Astyanax mexicanus: one gene and its partners. The protein of the gene in region 2 interacts with the protein of the main gene of each other region in a pairwise test. Links are inferred from orthologs where the notes say so. Each region holds a gene or a part of one and is shown on either strand. Other genes may lie near its edges.

Region 1 (5,676 bases), on a different chromosome or scaffold from region 2:
GGCCCCGAGCTGCTGACACTTCAACTATGCCCTTGGGAAACGTAAACAGCACAATGCTGCTGAACACACAGTATGTTCTGCAGCTACCGTACACAACACTGACAACAGCAGGGAATGGCCTGTTAGTTGACCTCTAGTAAGAGTAACAACAACATTACATAATAAGTATGCTTAAAAAGTGTTCAGTGTTTAGTATCAATCATTTAATCAATCCATTAGTGTTATTGAGTTGGCATTGAGTTCTGCACAACAGAAATTCTATTGGCCTGTTGTTGCTGAAAGACCCCCTCTGCTGTACCTTTTGGCTTCAGGCCAAGCGTAAAAGTCACAGGTCCAACCTCAGCACCTCAGGTCACCACACAAAAACAGGCACATCCATTAATCAAAAGCAATGACCCAAAGGGAAAGGAAGTCCAATCTCATTTAAGCTGCCTGAGCATTGGAAAAAGGCATCAACAGGTTGCTGAGCAAACAGCTGTACAAGAATGCCCTCATCTGGTAAGCAGGCCAAAGTGCAGCACTCATAATCTTTACAAGAATTGATAAGATTGTGGTATGATTACCATAATGCACTAATAATATAATTAGAAAGCTTTAAACAAAATATTTATTTATATGCATTTATATGTTTTGTGTGGTAATTATTAATTGTTTCAGAAATGTGTGACTGCCCATTCTTTTTAAATATACCCTTGGGTGGTCTTCCCGCCTTCATGGTCAGGGTCATGGTCATGCTGGATCCCGAGCCTACCCAGAGTCACTAGGGTAATAATAAGCACACGGTTGGAATAACCCCAGGACAGGGCACCACCAGTCCATTGCAAGAGTTCTTTGAGTATGGATAAATAAATAAATAAATAAGTCAGTTAGATTAAATAGTAGAGCAAACTATTTGTTTAAAATATTTTGAGTTAAAAGACAACAGATATAAAGCAAATATCACATTATCACATTATTAACAGTAATAGCAGTAGTCATATTAATATACCCCAGAAAACTTGCCCCAAGTGAGGTCTGAATGGGGAGCTCCCTAGGAACAAGAAAAGTTGTTCACAGGTTCTATGGGGTGCCTAAATATGGATGCACATCAGGGTTCAAGAATGGGAGCAGGGGGATTAAACATGGGCCCATATGGGTTAACCAAACAATAAAAAAATAAAATAAATAACAACTCTGGTGGCCTACCAAAAATGATTTTGGGATTTTTTTCTACATTTAATGATACACAAACGAGCAAAATGAGAAGCAACAAAACCTGATAATGGAAAAATATAAAATATATATTTTTTTCTGTCTGTAATGCACCTAAAACTCCATCCATCTATCTTATCGTCTTATATGTTTCTTCCAGGTCAGGGTCACAGTGAGTACAGAGCTTACCTACCCTATACATTGTTTGGGAGTCAGCTGGAGACACAGGGAGAACACATCCCAACTCCTCACAGACATGAATCAGAGCAGGAATTGAACTAGCAACCCTATTACCTCTAGAGTTGTCTGACATACTACTTGTGGTGCTACTCATACTTGTCAAGTCTCTTGTATTGGCCGGGAAACTACCATATTTAACCCTATTTTCCCGTAAATTTACCATATTATATTATAATAAAAAAATTAAAACAGAAAATTCCTGTGTCTCTCCAAACTGCCTCCCAGGCAGCTGGAAGTGCTGACAGCCGAAACAACCCTGGAACAACAAATCAGAGAGATGGATAGATGTAAGGAAAGAGATGGCATTCCTACCAAAAAACACCACACTATGATGATACATACTCATATATACTATGCACATATGTATAATGTCATATATACCTTCTTCTGACTGCGGAAAATACCATTGATCATCACAACAAAAGTATATTAAAATAAAAAAATACTATATATTTGTGTATATAATATAATAATTAATATAATAATAATTACTACATACTATATCATGATACTATGATACTGAACCTCGGTTGGTCTGGTGGGATGGCTCGAAGCGGGCAGCAGGAAAATTCCCTTATATTTAAATCCAAAACTTGACAGGTATGGTGCCACAAAATAAAGAAAAAAACTAAGTTACAACAAAAACAAAAAAAATCTCAAACTATCCTTAAGCAGTAAAATAAACTTGAGACATGATAAAAAAGTGTTCTAAATCAGATCAAATTTTTTTAAAGCAGAACTGTCACTGTGTCTGTTTGGCTGGAGTGTTTTTTTTTTCAGTGCAGTGGGCGGGGCTACGCTGCTGTTTGATTGGCTGGTAAAGGTTGATTCTGATGGACAACACCTCTCAATCAGTGTTGTGTCAATCAAAATGTAAAAAAAAAAAAAAAGAAAGAAAAAACACCAACACAAAAATGATGTCCATTCACTGCAATATACGCAGGGTCAGAAAGGGTTAAACAGCTCTGCTGGCTCTGGAACTACATTTCCCACAATTCTCCAAACCACAACAGACGAGCCCTGCGAAAAAGGCTGTGGATTCAACTCATTCAGACACCGAGAGCGAGAGAGAAAAACACGGGCGTGTTTCCTTAGTGACACTTTAAATGGAGTTAACGTTACGAGCTTAGGCTGCAGCAGACAGGGGAGCTTTTAAAGATGGTGAAAGACCAAGAAGTGGAGCGCATCGCGAAGAAGCTGGACAAAATGGTGCAGAAGGAAAACACGGTGAGTGTGGGTCGGTCCGGCGGCGGAGAGAGGAGCAGGTAGACAGGGACGCTGGACTGGACTGGAGCGTGCTGCACTTTTAGCCAGCTAGGGGTTAGCTAACCTGGCTTACTTATGGACGAAATTTCTGGAAACTTGCGAAAACGTACTTGTGTATAAATAGCTTGGTTAGCTAACCTAGCGTTAGCTAGTTATCGTTTCTGAAAATGTCTTCCACCACTCTCAGTGAGCCACTGTTAGCTTTCCACTCCAGAGTGAATGCCCCGGGGTTAGGGCTTTTACGGTGGACGCTGGAGAGCAGGCAGGAGGCGTGGAGGACCTCAGCACAGCCCCCCATAATTCAACATATCTAACATAACGCTACCTAACGCTTTCTCTTTAGCTAAGTAGAGTAAAGGACATGTTTGGCGGTAAAGTTAACGGAAGAGGTGTTACCGAGGCTTTTACCGCCACTCGGTAAAAAAATTTATCCGGCAAAAAAACATAATAGTGGGTAAATTACCTAGCTCTAATTAATGAATCTTTAGAGCTTTCCCCATTATCTCCGTTTTTTATTATTTATTAGTCTTTTTTTTAAACTAAATAGTTAGTTAGCTAACCTTCTTATGTAATATTGTTTAGTTGAGTAACTATCAAGATTGATACACAGCGCTATTGCCGGTGTTCTGTCGAGTTATGGTAATGTTACCCCTCGATATGTGCTTCTTAACGGCACTGCGCATGCGTCCACCCACATATTTTACTATTTAATGCGTTTGTATTTTATAATAATTCCGTTTTCCTTGGGTGCATTAACGTTTTAAACCCTGCGTCCATTACAATGGACACCATGAATTTTCTAATGTTTTTAAATGTTTTCTTGCACATAACACGAAGTTAATTGAGACCTTTTGTCAATCAAAATAGAGTATGAATGAGCCAATGAAAAAGTTTATAAGCCAATGAAACAATAGCATAGTCCTGCCCACTGCACTGAACAACAACAACAACAAAAAAAACACTAGAGCCAAAAAGGCTAATTAAACTTTTTTTTGGCTTATTTTATGTGATTTAGTTCATTTTAGTGTCTAGGGATGGCTTGTGATGGCTTCCAAGCCAATAGACATAAAGTATTCACCTATTTAATTGGATTTAATGTTAATATAGATTTTATGTTATAATATTAAAGTCTTCCTTTGTGTGCATTACTGACAGAAAACAGCATTATTATAACACAAAAGTTAACACAAAACTGTAAATGGTGATTAAAAAAATTAAAATAATAATACACTATAAGAAAAATACAGTTGTTTTTAATCAGCTAGCTAAGTCTGTCACGTTAACTTTTAACTTACCTGAAAAAAAACAGTTTAGCCTAACCTTTATTTTAAACCCTATATTTTTACCTTTTATAGTGTTATATACATTAGGGTAGCACCGGAATCCGCCCTTTACCGAGTCCCACTTTTACCCTCCGCTCTGTTTGTTAACTAGTTAGTTAACATTGATTAGCTAACCTACATTTGAGGTTCCTGACTTCCTGACTGAACTGAGAGCGGTGAATGTGTTCGTTTAGCAAACCAGCAAACCGTCCATTAATCAGCTCGAGGTCCCGTATGAGAGGACGCCGCTGTCAATTAAACCACTAACTAGCTAAATGGCTAGTTAGTTAGCTTAGCCAAGCTAATTACCAAAACACCGTCACTGCCTCGCCGGTGAATTTTGAACGGACGCGGTTTGAATAACCGACTCTCTCCGTTCCTGTTGTGTTTGTGTGTGTGTGTGTGTGTGTGTGTGTGTGTGTGTGTGTGTGTGTGTGTGTGTGTGTGTGTGTGTGTGTGTGTGTTTTCGTGCTGTTGGAGCTGATGAGCTGGCAAACTGGTCCTTCTCCAATTTTCTCTCCTGTCTGACTGCTGTGGACACACTGTGTAGGGGTGTGCTCTATACTAGTGCATCTAAAAAATTAGAATATCATTAAAAAGTTACTTTATTGCAGTAATTTAGTTCAAAATGAGAAACTCATATTGTATAGATGTATCACAGAGTGATATATTTTAAGTGTTTCTTTCTTTTATTTTTGATTATTTATTATGGTTTATTATGTCTTAATCAGCCAATAAACCCCCCCAAAAAAGTGTCTCAGAAAAATAGAACATTATATAAGACCAATTGGTAGTTTTGGCAGTGTGGGCAGTGTGCCAAGTCCTGCTGGAAAATGAAATCCGCGTCCCCATAAAAATTGTCAGGGGAGAGGGAAGCATGGAAGTGCTGTAATATGACAATATCACTGTGATCAAATATTATTGAGGTCATGTCCATTTATTGTTCGCTAAGTAAATAATGTAATTATCGTTATCTGCATAGACCCTGCTTAAGAAATAAAATGTTTCTGCTCAGTGTATAAAACTGTTATATTTATACTATTGCCAAGGATATTGTTATTGCAAAAACTTTGCTTTCTAAGTTAATTCTTTCTCCCTCTTTTCTTCCTTTACATCCAGGATGGTGCCTTAGACTTGCTGAAGGAACTGAAGAACATGAAAATGTCACTGGAGACCCTGCAGGTAGTTCAGTCCACTTTAACATATTAAATGCAGTCTACTTCATATCACACAACAACTTTTTAGGATGTGGAGAATCACTTCAGGCCTTGACATAAAAATAGGACATTTTTATTGACAAATATGTTTTGGATGCAGCCGCTCGGCCATGAAAACCCATTCTATGAAGCTCTCCATCCACTGTCCTTGAGATAATCTGAAGGCTACATGAAGTTTGGAGGTCTGTTGTGATTGACTGTGCAGAAAGTTAGTGATCTATGCCTCAGGATTTGCTGACCGTCCTCTCTTTTCATTTTACGTTGATGGAGTAAGTTGCTTTTGTTTCCAGTCGCTTCCACTTGTTATAATAGCACTGACAGTTGGCTGTGGAATATAGAATATATATAACATATATAACCATATATAACGTTTTGTTTGGACTATAAGGCGCACTTAAAATCCTTTAAATTTTCCAAAAATCAACTTATAATCAGGTGCG
Region 2 (5,676 bases):
ATAAAATATGAACAATACAAGTGACTCAGACATCTCATTTATCTCCAAACCTAAACTGAATAACTGTCTAAATGCATGAATGGCAAATGGTGTAGCATCTTCCTCCCATGCAGGCTATTTAATGCAATCCTGCTGTTAATATGAGGTTCTAAAGTAACTCAAATATGCAGAAGCATCTAAAGACTCTAGATCTCAGCTGAATCTGGACCCTCGTCCAGCAGTACAGCCCTCTCTGGGCTGTTAGACGTAGGCGTGTCGGGATTCTCCTGGGAGAGCTCCTCTGAGCAGCGGCTGATGGTGGGTGAAATTACGTCAGGGCTGGTGTCACATGACTCGGTGCTCTGCTCTGTTGTGGTGGCAGTGGTGGCCACACTGGGAGGGATTGGGTCAAACTCATCATCATCATCCTCTAGGCTAGGAGACTCGTGGATGTCTGTTGAGAAATCACTGATAAAATTACATGAGCAAAGGTAATGCTCTGGAAAAAGGTGTATTATGTGAGAGAATGAAATGTGTTGGCAATACAAATAACATAATTAAGAAAGTCTAGGTGATACTCACTGCTGAAAGCCTCAGGATACTGCTTTGAAATCTTACTCTTCAATGTCCTGCACAAAAATACAACAAGGTATACTGAATTATTCCACTCATACACTACCACTTCTAAAACCAAGAATCTATCTCCCTTTACTTTAAAAACACTATACTTTTTGTGGGGAGGCTTTACACTAGATGCTACACTACATTGCTTTGAGAATTTGACCGCATTCAGTCAGATGAGCATTAGAGATTTTGGATGATAAATTCTACCCACCCAAATGTATAAGATAAAACATAAATCTAAAGAACTCTTCTGAAACCAAATTAAATTGTTCCACAGCCTATTACTGGTGGGTTTTACACTTCTAGACAATATTTGGTTAAGTATTGATCATTTTTAGCAGCTCCAATGCTTCTATAAGAACTTCTTTCTATGGAGATTCTTCTTAGGATGTTTGCACACTAGAACATCCGGACCAATGTCTGTGTTCATGTGTTTGTTACATTGTGTATTGAACATTTGTATTGGTTCTTTTTGATTTTACACTGCAGTTATTGGGCAGAATTAAAGTAATAGGTTGCTTAGCCAGATGTTGCAGAGAATTCTATCCCTCTATCAGTATCCGACTCCCCTTTCCGTACATTTGTTCTGGACTGTTTGCGGCCCCTTTCACACCTGCTACTTTGATTGGGGCCCAATCGGAAAAGTCAAATATTCTGATCCAAATAAAGTAGGAAATCACCCTTAGTTATTTATTACTTTCTTACTTACTTGTTATCTTTACTTTTTCACTTGACTTTTTACATTTTATACAGGACAGTCAACAAAAAACCTCACTGCTAGTTGTACCCTGTCTTTCTATGTATGTGACTACAATTTCCAGATTATGTCTAGTAATGGACTACATAGCATTTTTAATTAAACTTTCTCATTGAAAGAAAAAACACTGCAAGACTAGGTTTGATTCCTTCCTGGAAACCCAGTGTACAATGTTTTTTTTTTTTTTTTTTTTTTAACAAAACTCAATGTTTACACCAACCAAACAGACTAACACTTAAAGAACTCCTAAAGCACCTTATTCGCCGGAAAATACTGTCCAAATCCTTCTTCATCTCAATTAAAGTGCGAGTGTGGAGCAGAAAGTGGTCGTTCATCTGTTGAAGTCGCACATTGGACAAACCATTAAAGTTAATGAGCATCTCATTGGTCTTCTCAAAGCGGTCCAGCCTAAGGAGAGATTAATAACATTAAATTGTGATTATTATAAATTATACATTATTTTTGACTAAGGGTGGACAAGTCAGTACTTCTGTATTGAGTAAAAGTAGAAATGCTATTGTAAATACAGTATTTAAACAAACATTCATCCAGCATTCACAAGCAAGAATTTCTGTACTTTTCTCAAGCAAAAATATAGATAATATTTTTCTCAAGTAATTTTAGCCTAAGCAATTTTACAGAAGTAAATGCATGTGACTGTTTTGATTATTAGACAGCAAAAACTGTACATGTGTCTCTGGGCTTGAATGATGGCGTTCACATCCTCAGAATTGACCATGCTTAGCATTCTGTTGCAGAAAATCCCAGATGCTGTCGGATCCATATTGTAGCTATAAAAAGAAATGAACGTCTGAGTTAACAATCATTTCACACATATCATAGTCAACTAACAGCACTGATATGATTTTCACATTAAACATGAAAAAGGTTGACAGTGTACAAAGATTGTATTGAAGTCTCATGTTACATGACAAGTACACTGTTTGAGTTGTGATGTGTTGAATCTATGTTTATCATTGTTGGATATTAAAATGTCTTTGATAACCTGAAAAATGAAAGTAGAAATAAATACTTCCACAGCACTGTATATTGGTATTACACTGAATTGGTGCCATGTGCTTGTTGTAACTCTTCAGAACTATCGTTATAATCTTCATAATCTAATATTTTTTCAACTCTGAATCTAAAAACACACGTATTTAACTATTTAAAAGCTGTACTGATCAATTTCAGGCAGCTTTACTTATTTTTTTCTAAGCAAAAGATGATTCAAAAACTTGTGGTTACAAAACATTTAAAAAGCATGTTTACTAATTACTAATTACTAACTACTTTAAAGAAATGCTAGACTGCATGACAAAAAAAAATAATGTTAATGGCATTCATTCCTGTTACTTTTTATGTTTTGAGTAACAGGAATAAAAATAACAGGAATGTGCTTTTAAGCATAGAATTTGCAAAAAAATAGCTAAATAACTGCAGAAATACCGATAAATATTATAAATGCTCTATTTGTTAATGATCTTAACAGAATATACTGCACAATAGATTTAGGTTAGAGTATGTAAGTTAGTAGGCAACCATTACTACTGAAATATTCAGCCTAACTGTGGAAGACTGCAAGAAATACACCAATTTATTCGCACAGCAGGTTTGCTTTACGCGTAAACGCATTTGCAGTACCAGACAATAATTAACTTTAAATATAATCGTAAAATAATCTTAAATCTAAGTAACGCAGCTAACTGTATAAAAATATTTACAACATAAACAGCAGCACGTTTAAATTAGTTCAGCAGAAGATAAAATAAGCAGCGCAGCTGCAGGTCTGCTACTGCAGTTCTGTAAATGTGAGGTGATGATCACAGGTGTTAACCTACCTGTCTGACTTCCGAGCTCAACCCAAGCGCCTCAGTCTCTTACAGACCTCACAGTACAGCTCCAGTAGTCTCAGTTACCGGTTTAAATGCAGCGGTTTGAGGTTGGGAAGGTTTGAGCTGTTAGTGCGCCGGGCTGTACAGAGCAGACATCTTTGTTGTTGTGTTAAACGGTCATGTGATGAGGACGCAGAGAATCTGTACAGAGGAGATTACACACTCAGCAATATTTTACAGGTTAGTGAGACACTAGAAGGCGCTCACGAGTGAGTGCAGAATGAATGGGTTCTCCTAATAATTTAGTCAAGTTAAGTAGTTTTATTGTTCATAGTGTCTCAAATATAGACATACGTGAGACAAGAGAAACAAGACAATAGTGCAATTTAAGCGTGAGAGTGTACCAGTTAGGTATGATGACAGATTACACAGGGAATGACAGTACCAGTATAAAAAGAATCCGAATAAACATTAGAGCAAATATAGAGGTAACGTATAGAAGCTTAAGGCTGGTAAAGTTGATGAGTGCATACAGTTATTTAAATGTAACAGTCGGAAATGTATTTTGTAAGTGTTTTTTTGTGCAAAACTTGACTTTCCCCTAATAATTTTAATTCCAGGAACAAAATATAAAATAAATTTACTTGATTTTATTTTATTTTTATTTTTTCATTTTGTGACAAAAGTAGATTTTTCATCAACCTTCAGAATAAAACATGTTTCCTGTATATTTGTATTTACTGTAGTTCAGGCTGTGAAAAACTTAAAAATGAAAAACTTAAAATTTAATTTTAGTAAATTTTGCCTTAAACAGGTAAAATATCAAGCTGAGGAACATTACACTGTCCCTGACTGAGGTGGCTAGTTATTAATATGTATTAGTTTTTTAGCTGTTTAGCTCTATGCACCTCCATTCATTGAGGACTCCCTCGCGGGCTCCCTCTATACCTCTATATAACCGGATAGGAAGTGGGCAGGCTCTCCATAAACCTCCGGTAAATGTCACAACCGGATGCGCTGCGGGCATTACAACTTTACAATAAATTACACGCACTTGTCATTTTGAGATTATCTAAGCATTTTTTATCCGATAAAAAAAAAAATCGGTAAGACCAGTACAGTCCAGTCTTGGGTAGGTAAACAGCTAAAAGTAATTTCCCGCAGCTCTGATCTCGGTTTGTCTCCTAACCTGCAGGGGCAGCAGGGAGCGCGCAGCTCTGAGCAGGAGGGAAGAAGTTGAGCGAGTCGACGAGTTCTGCTGCGCTAATTTATCAAAATATTAGCTTATCTAACTACATACAGCTACTCGCTGGGTAGATAAACCCTTTATACCTGTTTATTAGACAGTCGCTTCTTCACAGGTTCGTATAAACATTTACTGATCAAATAGATCAGACTGGGCTGGTTTTAGGCTGGTTTTTACGTATTAAAGTAGTTAGCTAAGCTAAGCTAACGCTATCTGGTTACGAGGCTAACCGTTAATTTTTGCTCGGATTTCAGAGAGAAACGGACATTAACGTTAGTTGTGGTAAATTATTTCCTTCACTAATATTTGTCTCTTTATGTCAGATTTCACAAGTTTGTTTTTTGTATTTTGGAATGAAAAATTTGATATTTCTGACGTGTTTTTGTAACGTGTATTTTAAGCCAGGTTGACCTAATGCTAACAGCGTACGTAAGTTAGTTTGCTAGCTAGCTTGCTAGCTCGATGTCTTACGTTGTTTAGCCACGGATACGTAGGTTAGCTAACTGTTAGCTCCTCGGGACCCAGGCATCTCTCTAATTTATTAATGCGTAGATTAAATACCATCGTATAATACATATTTTCTTCACAATACACACATTTGTATCCGTGTTGACCGAGAAGTTAAATGGCCTCATGTTGCTAGCTACACGCATGCCTGTTATCTGTGGCTAAAGAGGGCGCACAACATTAACGTTAGTCTTTTTTAATTTTTGTAATTTTGTCTACACCTAAAATTGGTCTTCAAGTTATAATTATATTTTAATCATGTAAGGTTATTTCTATATTATCACGTCACTTGCATTTTCTGTGGTGTAAATGTATGCTAAGTAAAGGAATAAAGTTAGCTAGGTGTGTAAAATTCATTGCAGTATTTTTTTTATTTTTATTTTGACTTATGGAGTCTCCGAGTGACATATACTATACATCCTGAAAGCATCACAGAACAGTGTATGCATGTATTTGGTCATTTGACTTCACTTATAAAAAAAAAAAAATAGCTCATTAAAAAAAACTATTATTGGCTTCTACAACTATGTTCCAAACATTTTACCCATTCAAATTCTTTGATTAAATGGTTTAAGTTCCGTTTAACTTGTTAACTTAACAAAAAAAATACAGGTTATTAATTTGTATTTATGTTGCATTAGGATGTCATATGTAGAATGTTTACTTTCACAATAAATGTTTACAGCGCTCACAATACAAAAATAAATCATGAATGTGCTGCTCACTGA
Region 3 (5,676 bases), on a different chromosome or scaffold from region 2:
AAAAATCAAAGGCTTAAAATATGAATTTAGGAGTAGGAGCCTAAAAAAAACATACTTTCTGTGACTGAACACAAATAGAAGATATAATTTCTAATCTATTGTTCAGATTTTACATTTAGTGTCAGCTCTTAAGTATGAAATAAGAAATAAATAAAATATATATACAAAAAAAAACTTTTTTTCTTGTGAGCAGATATGTTTTCTTGTTATGAACAGGTGAGCTATGAGGAGTCAAAGCTTCAAAACTCCTGTATTAGAGATCACAAAACGTGGGGATGTCCGATAATGCCTGTCTGTAAACACTCACCAAGCTCTTGGAGGACAGAGTTTCGTTTCAGAGCTAAGGCAAGCTCAGCTGCCCCCTGATGGTTGATTTGATTGTTACGCAGGTCTAGCTGAGTGAGGCAACTGTTAGATGCGAGACCCTCACAGAATATAGAAAACCCCTCTTCCCACATCCCGAGAGCATTCCACTCCAAAACAAGCCTGTGAACAAGAAGCAGACGTTATACATACAAACAGCAAAATCAGAAACCTGATGAGTGAGTCTGTCTCTTTACAATTGTTAAGCTGGTACTATAGTTAGAGTATAACTATAGTGCTTTTTAATGTAAAACATGGGCATTCACCTTCGTAACGTCTTATTCCTCACCAACAATTTCCCCAAAGCTTCTGCTCCGGCTCCTCTTAAGTTATTCCCCTAAGGAATTTTACAATTATTAATATTAAAGAATTTGATGATCATTAGCATTTCATCATTAACATTTCAGTGTGCTGTACTTGCAAACATAAAACATATTAAATTCCCTTTTCGCATGCATTAATAAATTAATTTTAAAAAAGCACATTCTATTAAAGGAAATGGCTATTTTAAAGTCCATGACTATGATCTTACCTTAAGATCCAGGACTTTTACTGTGGTATTGGAACACAGCCCACTCAGGAAAAGCTTGGCACCTGTAAACGCAGATCCAGAACAGATGGTACTGATTATATACATCAGAGCAATCTATTTGTCCTTCAAATTGTTTAAGATAATATGCCAATGCCAATGTTAAATAAGTTATAGGGCCATATTTTATATTTTTCCAGTATTTTAATTTTTTTTTATCTACTACAGGTACTTTAATTTATCCCTTAAAATTAAACAAGCATTCATTGAGCATTTAAGACCTATTAGAACAGTATTATAAAATCGCTGTAAAAAAAATTGAACCATAAGGATCCTCTGCATCTACATCTAGCTGATCTTCCTCTGAGACACCATCCGTATATACACTACTGATCAAAAGTTTAGAACTCCGCAATTTTTCCCCTTTATTTTTGACATTTAAGCTTTTTAATCCAGTGTAAAAAAAATTCTAGTAAACTGCCAGGACCTTTAAGAGAAAAAAATGAATGAAAAACTAAAAAAGTATAAAAGTCATATGTTGTTTAAAAAGGAGTGTGTGATTTTTAGCAAACAATTTATTTGTTAACAGCTTACAGATGGTAAATGGCAAAGAAAATTGTCTGTAGTAAAGCAGTGACGGAACAGATGATGTTACTGCACTCTCTACTGCAGCATTTACACACTCACACAGCACATTCACACTTTCATCATCATAATAACTAGAAAAAGACAAAGAAAAGCAGAGAACTCTGTAACTATTGAAAGTAGAAGTCTTTCAGTCTTTAGACAAATTACAGATGAAGCCAGAGAGTGGTGAGTACTGTTTCCTACACCTTCAAAAGATTCTTGGAAACTGGAGAAAACTGCTACAGGAAGACGTCTGGCTGACCCACATGGAAACAGCTTTAGCCTTTAGCTCTTTAGCTTAACATGTCTGGACCGAGTCTCAGTTTCAGCAGTGAAGAGAAGATTAGAGGTCTAAAAGGTAAAGTAATAAGCAGTAATAAGGTCAGTTTAGACTCACCTTCTTCACTAAGCATGCAGTCACTGAGGCCGAGCTCAGTGAACAGCGTGTCCTTCTGCAGCGTCCTTCCCAGCACGGCACAAGACTCCACGGTCAGACTCTGACCACTTAGGTCCAGCCTGGTTCCTCCAGCTGCCGCTCGCGTCCCCTGCAGTTGAGCCAGGACTGACTCCTGGGGCTCCACCCCAGCCTCCTTACAGAGCTGCATGTAGGCCCGCCTGAAGTCCTCCATCAACAGACAAGCTCCCTCACTCACATACAGAGCTGCAAAAAGACAAAAGACAAAAAGAGAATATTGTATTTGAGGGGAAAAAAAAAAAACATCTTCACCTCAGTCTTATTATAATATTGGTGTCTGATCTGAGCTGCATCTCCAGCCAATAGACTGCATGCAGAATTTTCTCCATCTCTAATGTAAATGCAATCATCATGATTGCAGAAGGAGCAAAGGGTCACGTTGAAGATGTTCAAAAAGGATTTAAATTCAAATCAACAACATGCTTCTAGATGCAACTACAAGAGGGGAAGGGGTGCTCAATGCACTGTTATGTTGCAACATGCATTATATTACATTACATTTAAAACCCAAGCATTTATATTTAGTTTATGTGAGTTGTTGTAATTGATTATAATCAAACAAGGCTATTAGTTACTTAGGGTGGATGATATGGCCCTAAAATAATAATAAGATATATTTTAGGATATTTTTTGCAGTTACAATATTCTTGGCAATATGACAAAACAAAAATTTTAAATCCTTATTACTGCAACTAAATACAGTAACGTTACCAGTCAAATGCTTGGACATTTTTTATTTTACAATTTTATTTAGTTTTTAAATGTAATAACAAAATCATGTCAACATAAAAACAAAATTTAACATAACAATAATGTAATGTACCAAAATAAACACCATAATACTAAAGTACAGAACATTTAAGACATGCATATAAACTGCAAACATAGACAGATATACCAAAAAAAAACCTTTCACAGAAAATAATGATATTATTGTGTCACGATATTGTGTGTATAAAACGGTATGAAACGCTTCTATTAGGTACTTAGTTACTTTAGACCAATTAATTAACCCTTAACCTTTTATAAATACATAATAATTGCTTATTTTTGCAATTGTCCGTTCCACCTTAAATGCTTTAGTGTTTCTGAGCCTTTACATTCTGACTTCTGAATCCCCCTAATGTAACTGCTGCAGAATTTAAGGTGGACAGAATCATTCATATAACAAGATAGTGAAGTAAAAGGCAAACTTTAGTTCATCTTATTAAGCCTGTATTACACATGGCTTCATTATTCATTAATAAAATACAAACATGTAGTAAAATAACTCCAATTACACAAAAGTTAGACAGTTAGGGTTAGCTAGTTAAGCTAGCTAGCATTAATTTGTTGTTAGCTAGCTCAGTTAGCTATTGTGCTAGCCAGCGAGCTACAACAGTCTCTAGAACACGCTAAAATAGATTAAAATAAGTCAAATAAATGTATAAATAAGCAGTTCTTACTCTATAAAGCTGAGCGACATCCCTGCGGTTCTAATGTTTTAACAGTTGCCGCTGTTTACAGCTTTGCTGGCTAGCAGTTGACATGTATCCAGGAACTTAGGCAGCTACGGGGCCGCGCTGCATTCTGGGACATGTAGTACAGCCACAAAACAACATAGTAGTAGTCTTTAATTTAGATAAAAACGCTTTTTTTATTATTATTATTTTTTGTTGCATTTTCTGCATTTAACAATACGTGGTGCACATTATGTTACAGATTAGTATAACATAGATTATTAGATTATATATTTGTCAGAATACATAAACACATTAGAGGAACACATTGTAATACTAGCTAACTGTCTCTATTAAACAGAGCCTGTGATATCATGTAAAAAAAAAAGTGAGGTTCTTATTTCCACGCCTTAATAAGTCATGGCCACGCATTATTTTATTTTTAACATGCTGTCACCTTAGGGGCCATTACTTTACAGTAATGGTGAAGCCATGACCACAATAAAAATAGGCCTTTTTATTCATAATGCAGACACAGCAATGAACACAGCCATGATAAATTAAAATAATTAGTACATGCTTTTTGCACGTTTCAAGAAGCACACATACTTTTCCCGTCATTACGATAGCAAAGACACACTGACACGCCCTAAATCAAACTGTGAGGTGCTCGGTTGACGGCTAGGCTACAGATTGCTAAATTGCAGACCTATAATGTCCATTGCAATGGAAAATTGGGTCTGAAAGGGTTAGTAATAACCATTTAATGTATTAATTTTCCATGAGGTAGATTTAAGAGATTTAAAGAGATTTAAGAATCTGCTTATTTAATTTGCCACCAATGTGAACACTTCATATGTTACTGTATGTTTATTAGAAGCTTTTGCTGATTCTGTGGGATTTCTATGTCAGAAATGCTTATATGTACTAATATGTTTATATTATTTCTTGAGGCATGGCTTGTCATATCATTGGTACAATGACCGGGATAACTTGAAATCATTCTTAGTCTATCATTAATATTTTCTTGGTGGAACATTTACTCAAAGCTGACATTCTTCAGAGGTATGTTATCCAGTTTTGCTCAGTTCTGACTGGCTGTCCTACACTAAACCTTATTTATTATTGCTTTCCTGATATATGGGCCCTTCCATGGTTTATCAGCTTGGATGGGATGGGAAAAACACTGAAAAGGAATCTAACAGTGCATTACAGTGATCAATGTGTGTGACTGGTGAACACAGTGTTGGCTCCAGCTGGATCTTTGTTGTGTGAGATTACCTTGGTGATTGATGGATGATTAATCTGGAAAGCTGACCACTGGTTCCTTGTTGTTTGAGCTGCTGCCATTGGGAATGCTCAGCCTGGGGGAGAAACAGAAGAGTAAACGCTCTGAGATCAGGGAGAGAGAGTCGCTGAATAACTAGTGTGTTGGTGCGAAGGAATAACTATGTGTTAAAAAGAGATTTCAGAGATTTTCAGCTTTTGGAAAGCTACAACATCCCTCCTCCAACAGCGAGGTGACCAGAGGAACATCACAGTCAGCCTAATACCAGAGAGGATCCATCTTTAGGGTTTGGTGATATGGATGACCGGGCCAAAGACGACCCATGGAGAGTGTATGAGGAGGAAATCCCCAGCAGAACCATTCGGTAAGAGTCATTAAAGGTCATTAAAAAGGTTTTAAATTCAACCAACAAATCAGAGCTGTGTGTTTATGAAGTATTGTTTTTTTAATTAATTTAAATTAATTAATTAACATTTAATTTATACAGTTTAGTTACTAATTTTAATTTTGACAATGCTGCTTTTATCTTGTTAACTTTCTTCTGGTGAAAAAATGCTGTTGAAAACAAAAACACATCATCCATACATTTTCAGATAAAAAAAATCTGAATAAGATCTGATATACATTTAAATTTATGAACCACACTATCATATTTATAAAAATTCAGGGCCTTGCCTTTAACCATGTCTTGCACTAGGTGGAGCCATAGTGACACAATTACTAGCACTAAATAAAAATAAGGGATTTATTAAGTCCCTGACAGCTACACACTAAAATCTGGGACAAATTAAGAAAAAAATAATCAAGTTTTTCTTCTCATCTGAGCAACTAATTTCTCCCTACTGCAGCCAAGAGTATAAAGCTTTAACTTTCATCTTCTCATTTTCATTTCATTTCTGCTCATGTTGTACATGAAATTGCAAACAACATACAACACCTAGGTGCTTATTTTGAA

Evidence for each region.
Region 1: the proteins of kxd1 (region 2) and tcea2 interact in binary tests that used the Homo sapiens proteins (3 or more experiments, as listed by UniProt). The two-hybrid records come from large-scale screens. The link is inferred for Astyanax mexicanus from reciprocal best matches to the Homo sapiens genes KXD1 and TCEA2.
Region 3: the proteins of kxd1 (region 2) and lrrc45 interact in binary tests that used the Homo sapiens proteins (3 or more experiments, as listed by UniProt). The two-hybrid records come from large-scale screens. The link is inferred for Astyanax mexicanus from reciprocal best matches to the Homo sapiens genes KXD1 and LRRC45.

What each region holds. Positions count from the first base shown.
Region 1 is NC_064420.1:30,249,238-30,254,913, forward strand, and holds the start of tcea2 (transcription elongation factor A protein 2), read left to right. Parts: upstream 1-2,419; 5' UTR 2,420-2,589; coding exon 2,590-2,658; intron 2,659-5,138; coding exon 5,139-5,201; intron 5,202-5,676. UniProt on the Homo sapiens protein: Necessary for efficient RNA polymerase II transcription elongation past template-encoded arresting sites.
Region 2 is NC_064417.1:35,895,243-35,900,918, forward strand, and holds the start of kxd1 (kxDL motif-containing protein 1), read right to left. Parts: upstream 3,392-5,676; 5' UTR 3,202-3,391; intron 2,152-3,201; 5' UTR 2,145-2,151; coding exon 2,050-2,144; intron 1,769-2,049; coding exon 1,616-1,768; intron 609-1,615; coding exon 562-608; intron 434-561; coding exon 186-433; 3' UTR 1-185.
Region 3 is NC_064422.1:9,241,286-9,246,961, reverse strand, and holds the start of lrrc45 (leucine-rich repeat-containing protein 45), read right to left. Parts: upstream 3,552-5,676; 5' UTR 3,440-3,551; intron 2,181-3,439; 5' UTR 2,149-2,180; coding exon 1,917-2,148; intron 958-1,916; coding exon 896-957; intron 701-895; coding exon 630-700; intron 487-629; coding exon 308-486; intron 1-307. Other genes in the region: WD repeat-containing protein on Y chromosome, read left to right, coding at 5,018-5,085. UniProt on the Homo sapiens protein: Component of the proteinaceous fiber-like linker between two centrioles, required for centrosome cohesion.